Linked DNA regions of Drosophila melanogaster. The protein of the gene in region 2 interacts with the protein of the main gene of each other region in a pairwise test. Each region holds a gene or a part of one and is shown on either strand. Other genes may lie near its edges.

Region 1 (3,922 bases), about 24 Mb from region 2:
TAGGAAAACGCACTGGAATTTAGATGAAATATTCCGAAAAGAAACTGGTATGAACGGTAGCAAGGCTCCAGCTAGACTGATTTTGTCAGAAGCCTTCCGGTCGTATGCTAAATTCAAGACTGACACGAAAATCGGAGCACATGTGATCATTCAAAAAGTACTAAGCCCTTGTATCTTGTGAAAGAAATTTTTGTATGAACTAAACTATAAATGCAAAATTACTCTTCTTTCTACTCTCTCCAGAAATGGAAATATCAACCATATTCCGCCAATTACAATCGCCTGTTCGATTACCCCTTAATAATATTGAAAGAGCGCTACTTTTATATTCTATTTTCTTTTTATTAGTACTGAATTTCCATTTTCGAAATTTATGCAACTTTATTGTTTAACGGTTATCTTAAAGTCCTTATAAGTGGTCCACGCTTGAAGTATATTCCTTGTCCTTGTGTGATCAGCACCGCCGAAAGTCTAGGGAGACCCATCAAGAACCATTAGCCGGTGCTTCAAGGACCAAGGATCCTCTACTTACCCTGGAGGTGCCATAGATCTTAATTTTTTTATTTTCTGCCTCGTTGAGAATCCTTCCACCACCGAGGATTTTGGCACATATGCCCTCGGGTTCCAGCTCCTCCAAAATCGAGTCGAAGACCGCCACTGAAAGAAGGATTTGTAAGACTGCTCAAGGTTAAGCGTCCAGCAGTGGAAACTCACAGTGATTGTCAACATCGGCGCCACGGACAATAACTCTTCCATACTTCGTGAAGCCATGCGTATGAATATTCACCAACAAATAACGATTCTGACCCTTGGTTATCTTGACCCGGGGAACGCCTACCAAACTTATCAAATCGGTTGAGTAACATTTTTCTAAAACCAAGTATATTAGGGCTTGTAAATCTTAATATTGAATATTCCTAAGCCTTACGAAACGGAGAAACAATATGAGGAAGCAGACGCAATGACTTGAACATTTTCATTTTATTTAACCAAAGGAAAAGAAACGAAATTTGTGTACAAACTGATTAATTTAGATCCGAAAAGGTTTAGTGCGAGCAGTTGCAAAGCTACAGACTAACTGCCTTTCAGAGCATTTCTCAATTTTAAATGCCATTTCCAATAAAATCATGGCACACAGGATCAAAGCCAATGGTATAAATTCATGTCAGTGTGCTTATGTGGAGTCTTCTCTCGTTGATTGCAGCTAATATCCCTCATCGGAGATTTCGATCGTGTAGTCCGGGTATTTGGTGGCCAGGATGCGTTTGGTCTGCGCGTGATCAGCTTTTCCAAAGCCCTTAAATAGAAAGACTTGATTAGAACTCCAGAAAATTTTTCAAGTAGTTAGATACATCAGTCCATCCACTGCCCAGCGACCCCTTTACTCAAGGGAATAGACCCACCTGCGAGTATCCGTAGACCTTCAAGTACTTCTTCTCGGGATTGTGTTCAATGCGACCGCCGCCAGGACACTCGGCCCGCAGCCCCAGTTTTTTAAAGACCTCCTCCTCGCGCTCGAAGATGTCGGCTGTGGGACAGTAACCAAGCTAAGTGGGCACTTGATGGGTGATGAGGATCCGACTTACCATGCCATGTGCAGTCCGCAAATCCGCGGATCACCGCCTTTGAAGCATCTCCTCCATCGAAGACATTGATCATGACATACTTGAAGATGCCCTCTGGACTGATGTGCACCAGTGGCACGCCGGCAAGTGCTTCCTCGGACATTTTGTGAATCAGTCGTAGTCCTTTGGAAAGCAGTTGGAGGCGATTCATTGTGGAAAAGTGTTTGAAAACAGAATTTAATGTCTTACCAACCGGCAAATTTTCCAAAAACGCTGCTTTAGTCCAGCAATGTGACCAGATACTTTTATTCTCGTTCACCTTATGTATCGATACTATTAAAATTATAATATTCAGTTATTTCTTTAGTACATTTGGGAAAACGTTTTTTGTACTACTCAGTATATTTTAGTAATAATTAATAAACTCAAAAAGAAAACGTTGTTATCAGTGACAGCAAATTTATCGATTACGCCGACAGCACGCAGTCGATACTATCGGCACTATCGGCACAGCTCTGGCGTTCACAACAAAATATACACAAATTAAATTGTTTAAGCCGAATTTTCGATTGGATTCCACGGCGACTAGATGAGCTCCACGCGTCCGTTTTGCTTCGTTTGCGGCAAGGAGAAGTCCGTGGGGGTGTTCCAGCTGATAGAAGGTAACGTTCGCTTACGCCGCACTCGAAAGTCCTGATAGCCGACTTTTTCACAGGCTGCATTGTGCCAGGAACCTTTAAGCCCATCAAGGATATACTGAAATACTTCGAGAAGATCATAAACCAGCGGCTGGAGCTCCTGCCCAACTCGGCCGCCTGCCGGGACTGCCTGGAGTACCTCTTCAACTACGACAGGCTGGTGAGGAATCTCAGCCAAGTGCAGCGCCAGATTGCGGACGCACTGCTCGGCTGCAGGCAGGTGGAGGGCAAGGCGGAGACCAAGCAACAGGCGGCAAAGAGGGCCCGCGTCCAGGTGCCGGCCTTCAAGATCGTCCAGGCCACCGCCCTCAAGGAGCCCGAAAGGCAGCCGGGCGAGGAGGATGAGTGCGAGGAATTCATGAAGGAGGAGATGCTGGACGAGGAGTTCCAGTTCAGCGAGCCGGACGACAGCATGCCGTCGTCGGAGGAGGAGTTCTTCACCGAGACCACCGAGATACCCTGCCATATCTGCGGCGAGATGTTTTCCAGCCAGGAGGTGCTCGAGCGGCACATCAAGGCGGACACCTGCCAGAAGAGCGAGCAGGCCACCTGCAACGTGTGTGGCTTGAAAGTGAAGGACGACGAGGTACTCGATCTGCATATGAACTTGCACGAGGGCAAAACAGAACTTGAATGCCGCTACTGCGACAAAAAGTTCTCGCACAAGCGGAACGTCCTGCGCCACATGGAGGTGCACTGGGACAAGAAGAAGTACCAGTGCGACAAGTGCGGCGAACGCTTCTCGCTCTCCTGGCTGATGTACAACCATCTGATGCGCCACGACGCCGAGGAGAACGCCCTGATCTGCGAGGTGTGCCACCAGCAGTTCAAGACCAAGCGCACCTACAAGCACCACTTGCGCACCCACCAGACGGACCGGCCGCGCTACCCCTGCCCCGACTGCGAGAAATCGTTCGTGGACAAGTACACCCTGAAGGTGCACAAGCGGGTCCACCAGCCGGTCGAGAAGCCAGAGTCGGCGGAGGCCAAGGAAGCCACCGTCACGTTCTTTTAGGGTAGTCCTTTGCTAGATTAATCTAAGAAGCCCAGCTCATGGGTGCATTAGCGCGCGTATGTATCATAAAATTAAATCTAAACAATTATTGACGGAAAGTACCAGTTCTTTGCCGTTCTTCGCCCATTTTCCAGGAACCCCAGTAGGTAAAGTAGCGGATTTCGCGAATTTTCGCGGGTATGGCAATAAAACAGGCAGATGTTTTTTAATCCCCAAAATAGGTCCTTTCTACCTGTGCGCTTGGCAAAGTATATAAAGGTGTTGCGTCGTCCGCCAGAACTTAGTTGAACATTTCTGTTTCCCGGAGCACATCTGATAGAACAGCATGGAACAGCTATTGGCCCAATTACACACTTGCAGTGAGCTGATTGCAGAGGGCTACAGCAGCACCGGCAACATTGGCTGGCTGAACGAGTTCTGCGCCACTTTCCTGGACTTCGCCAGCGATCTGAAGGCTAGGCTGCCGGAGGTGGCGCCCAGTGGCGCAAACCTTGATGTGGAGACCATCTTCCTGTGCCTCACCCAGGTGGTAACCTGCATCACCCACCTAGAGCGGACCATCAGCATGGAGGCACCGCATATGACCAGGCAGCACTTCCTCGACCGCTTGGACTGGTGCTTGCGGCGACTGCTCGTCTCCTTGA
Region 2 (3,922 bases):
GTATGCTCTCCAGCTTGCGCTGCGCTATCATCAGCTTGCGCTCCTCGATGCGAATCTTTTGCGAGATCTCCACTTGGCCGCGCTCCTGGATCTTTTTCATGTGCTTTTCTTTGCGTCTTTCTTCGCGTTCACGCTGCTTTTCCGCTTCCGCTTTTTTCAACTCTTCTTGCTTTTGCCTGTAATTTTTTTGCAATGTTGCGTGTTTTGTTTTGCTTTTGATATATTTGTTATGCATAATAAATATTTGTTAACTGTTCGTCTAGAAGATACAGAGAACGGTTGGCTTAAGGCTCGCCTCGACCAGCGGCCGCCAGGTGAGAAGCAAAAATAAGTAAATGTAAAATGGCTGGATATGAAAACAGTAGAAAGGCAGCCATACTAAACGCGATATATTTCAATTTCTAATTCTAATATAAGTCAATGGTAATCAACTTTCTTCTAAGGTACATAAGTATGTACTGAAGATCAGTAAGTTAGAATAAAAATTAAGATTTAAGCAGATCTGATAGATGCATTGCCATTTGGTTACTGTATTCGTTTTCCGGCCTAAAAAGTTATCAAACCTTTCGCGATCCAATTCCTCTTCCTGCTGTTTTTTAAGTTTTTCCCGCTCCTCGTCCTCGGCCTTGGCTTTCGCGATGAACTTTTTCCGAATCCGTTCTCGGCGCTGTATGTTCGAGTCACTGAGATGCTTCTGTTTGTCGAAGCTCACACAAATGTTGATGGCTTGAGTCTTGTCCACAAACTTTCGGACCAACTTATTGCCCCTGAACTCGTCCATGGCCCGGACGAAGCTTGAGTACTCCTCGAACTGAACATATCTGTCCAAAAAAAGTGTTAGCTACACGAACTTAGTATTCGTATCTTATTCGAAACTTACCCTTCGAATAGAACATCCTGCTCGAAGCTAAACGTCCGCATGCCGTTAATGTCCGCCTGCATGCTCTTTCGGTACGGATCACAGATAGGTATGTCAACCATCCGGACGCGTCCGAACTTTTCAAAGATTCGCTTAAAGATGTTCTCGCTGGGCTTGACGTTCTCCTCGTGCTCCGAGTGACGCGGACAGAACCAACGCATGGGCAGATGGCTGATGTGAATGGTGTCCGGACGTTCGCCGGCCTTCATTTCATCCATGTTTCTGGCATCCCGGAAGTATGAGTCCCAGTCGTGTCGCGTTGGAAAGTCATCCTTAGACTCGGCACAACGCACTCGGAAGGACTCACTAAAGCCGGAGATGCGTAGAGAAATGCCGTCCAATCGTTGGATGGCCGCCCTAAGACGTTTCCGCTCGTCCAGCTCAGCTTCCAATCGGATGGTGTTTACAGTGCTTTTCGAGACCTGTTCGGGCATACAGATAATGGAAATTCGATTCAAATTATATGAAGTGGATGCGTATCCATACTTACATTTCTAGATATTTTGTTTAAATTAAATAAATGTTATTTTTGTGTGTAGTTTGGCATGCACAGAGTTAAGATAAGATTATTAACTTACTTTGAGCAGGAGAAACTTGTCCGGCTTAAGCTCGGCGCCCAGTTTGTCCATTATCTCCAGGTTAGATACGGATTTGCCGGACTTGATCGTCGGCAGCGACACGGAGATTTGCATTTTGGCCAGCGGCTTGAGGTACAAGCTGTGCGGCAAGTAAAAAGGAATGCAGTCTGCCACATTTTCTATAGTCTGGATGTGGGTCATTTTGAAAAAGTGTTTTTTTTCGGTTTTTCGTTTCGAAACAGTGCAATGTAATGAGGCAAAATACAGAAAGTAATATTTGTGTGTCTATTACCAAGTAAGACTCCCAAGCATAGAGCTAGACCCTAAGGAGACATCCCAAGAATCGCCCAGGATAATGCAAAAGGAAAATGCCGCCCGTGTCCCTTGCGTAGATGAGTGTTTCATGAGTGTGGGTGTGAGTGTGAATGTGTCTAGATGAGAATGGGGGGGGGGGGGGGGGGAGGTGTGCTAAGGAGGAAGATTTTGATGGGTGCCCGTATCGGTTTGTTGTAGGGACTTGGGCCACCTTAACTTTCGACCGCTGCTAATGCTACTTAAGTATAATAAATGCTGTGACTTTTTATGTGCGGATGCTGCGCTATTTGCTAAAATAAAAACTCTATTGGGTTATTTTATTTGCACTTTTCACTAGAGGCGGCCGACTTTCGATAGGTTTGATTTACGAAACGAATAGGGATGGACTAAAAACAGGGTTCTCTGGGCAGTTGATGGTATTCTCAAGGGCTAAACAGAATGGTGTAAGCTGGTGTAAGAAGCAAGGTGCAACAAATACTTAACCAAAATTAATGTTAATGCGGGGATATACACACTAAATAAACTTTTGAAGCCACAAATACTAAATGGAGACCCCAATATTAACCTGAGATATTTAAATTTAATTTAAATAATGTTCATAAAAATCATTTGGACATTTTGTAACTCTTAGAATTAATACGTCGCACTGGAGGCCGGGCATTTAAAAACAAGTTGGCAGCTATTGAGTATCGTTTCCGCACCAGCTCTGTTATCGATATCAACTTGAAAATATGTTGTCATTCTCACATCGCGAGGCATAAGCAAAGACAAAAAAAAGTGAGAACGAAGTGCGTTATTTAATTTTTATACCATTTAATTTAATTAGAAATCTAAGCAAAGCAACAAAATGCGTGAGTGAAATTGTGTGACTCCAAATACCTAAAAGGCTCCCGTGCCCGCATCGTGTAAATGGCAAAAAACTGACGCGAAAAGTAAAACTGCCAACAACAACAAGCAGCAGCAAACAGAAAGCATAAGCAAGCACTAACAACAACAACAACAACACTCACAGCAGCAGCAGCAGTAGCAACAACAACGCAATTGTGATAGACAAAGAAATAGATTAAGAAAAGGAGGGCAACAGCGAAGAACAGAAGGAAATGAGAAAAACGAAAACAGCATAAATTATTTGGAAAATATTTCCTTGCTCGAACATATTGATAGACATTGGGACTAAAAGAAGAGTCGAGTTAATGCTTTTTGCACATTTGATACGCAACGAAAATAGTTTTTAAAGTAATAGGTAATACGCAGGCAAGAGAAGAAGCAGAGCCATACAAAATAAATAAGAAGAGCGTGGAAGGCGAGGAAGAGAATAAAACAACACAGTGGCGTTGAAAGAGAGGAAGCAGCAGACGAGCGAAAATAAAGAAGAAGCGATACAAATGTTATTGTTGCTGTTGCAAATAAAAACAATCACATAAACACATTTGAAAACAGATACAGCTACAGCTGATGTAAAATAATTTGCAGAGCCTGTGTGTTCGTGCCCGTTTACAATTGATTAAAGCCAAAACACGAACACACCGCGCACACAACCAGGCAACAATAACACTTCACACACGTACACTCACACACACGCAACACAGTCCCACTGGAGACCATTGTGGAAATTGATTAAAGAATATAAGGTGAGTGTGAGTAGGGTATGGTTTAATTAACCGTTAGTTATAGTTTAAAGCACACCAACGCCAGGGGATCCGACGACGCCCTTTTCACTGCAGAAATTCCATCCGTCTTCTTTTTCCACCCCTTTCCCCATCCGCCTTTACAACAAGTGCAACTACATACACCTGCTGCCATTTTCTTTATTGTTTTTTTAAGAACGTCAGCAACCCTCACGCTTTGGTTGTTTTGTGCGTCCGTTTGAGCCAAATTGCAATTAATTGCCATAATTTACATATTTTACAAGAATAACTCGGTGTCTGTGTGCATTTGTTCGTCATTCGAGAGCTTTTTCCTGTTAACTGCACTGCACCCGAATAAGTGCAAAACAAGAAGGAACAAAGCAAAACAACAGCTGAGAGAGCGAACCAGAAGGAAAGAAGCGGATGGAGTGGGGAAAGGGAACCCGTAGAATGAGTTGCAGATCGAATTATCGAATATCGAT

The links.
Region 1: the proteins of Xe7 (region 2) and Sry-alpha interact in a two-hybrid assay, tested with the Drosophila melanogaster proteins (one large-scale study listed by BioGRID).

What each region holds. Positions count from the first base shown.
Region 1 is NT_033777.3:30,037,659-30,041,580, forward strand, and holds the start of Sry-alpha (serendipity alpha), read left to right. Parts: upstream 1-2,060; 5' UTR 2,061-2,154; coding exon of another isoform or gene 2,155-2,227; intron 2,228-2,280; coding exon of another isoform or gene 2,281-3,278; 5' UTR 3,279-3,603; coding exon 3,604-3,922. Other genes in the region: janB (janus B), read right to left, coding at 382-471, 533-657, 715-870, 929-980; janA (janus A), read right to left, coding at 1,205-1,297, 1,404-1,528, 1,587-1,776; Sry-beta (serendipity beta), read left to right, coding at 2,155-2,227, 2,281-3,278. UniProt on the Drosophila melanogaster protein: Required for the cellularization of the syncytial blastoderm embryo. Involved in the localization of the actin filaments just prior to and during plasma membrane invagination.
Region 2 is NT_033777.3:5,667,130-5,671,051, forward strand, and holds the start of Xe7 (Xe7), read right to left. Parts: upstream 2,206-3,922; 5' UTR 1,699-2,205; coding exon 1,498-1,698; intron 1,342-1,497; coding exon 881-1,341; intron 822-880; coding exon 564-821; intron 260-563; coding exon of another isoform or gene 177-259; coding exon 1-176.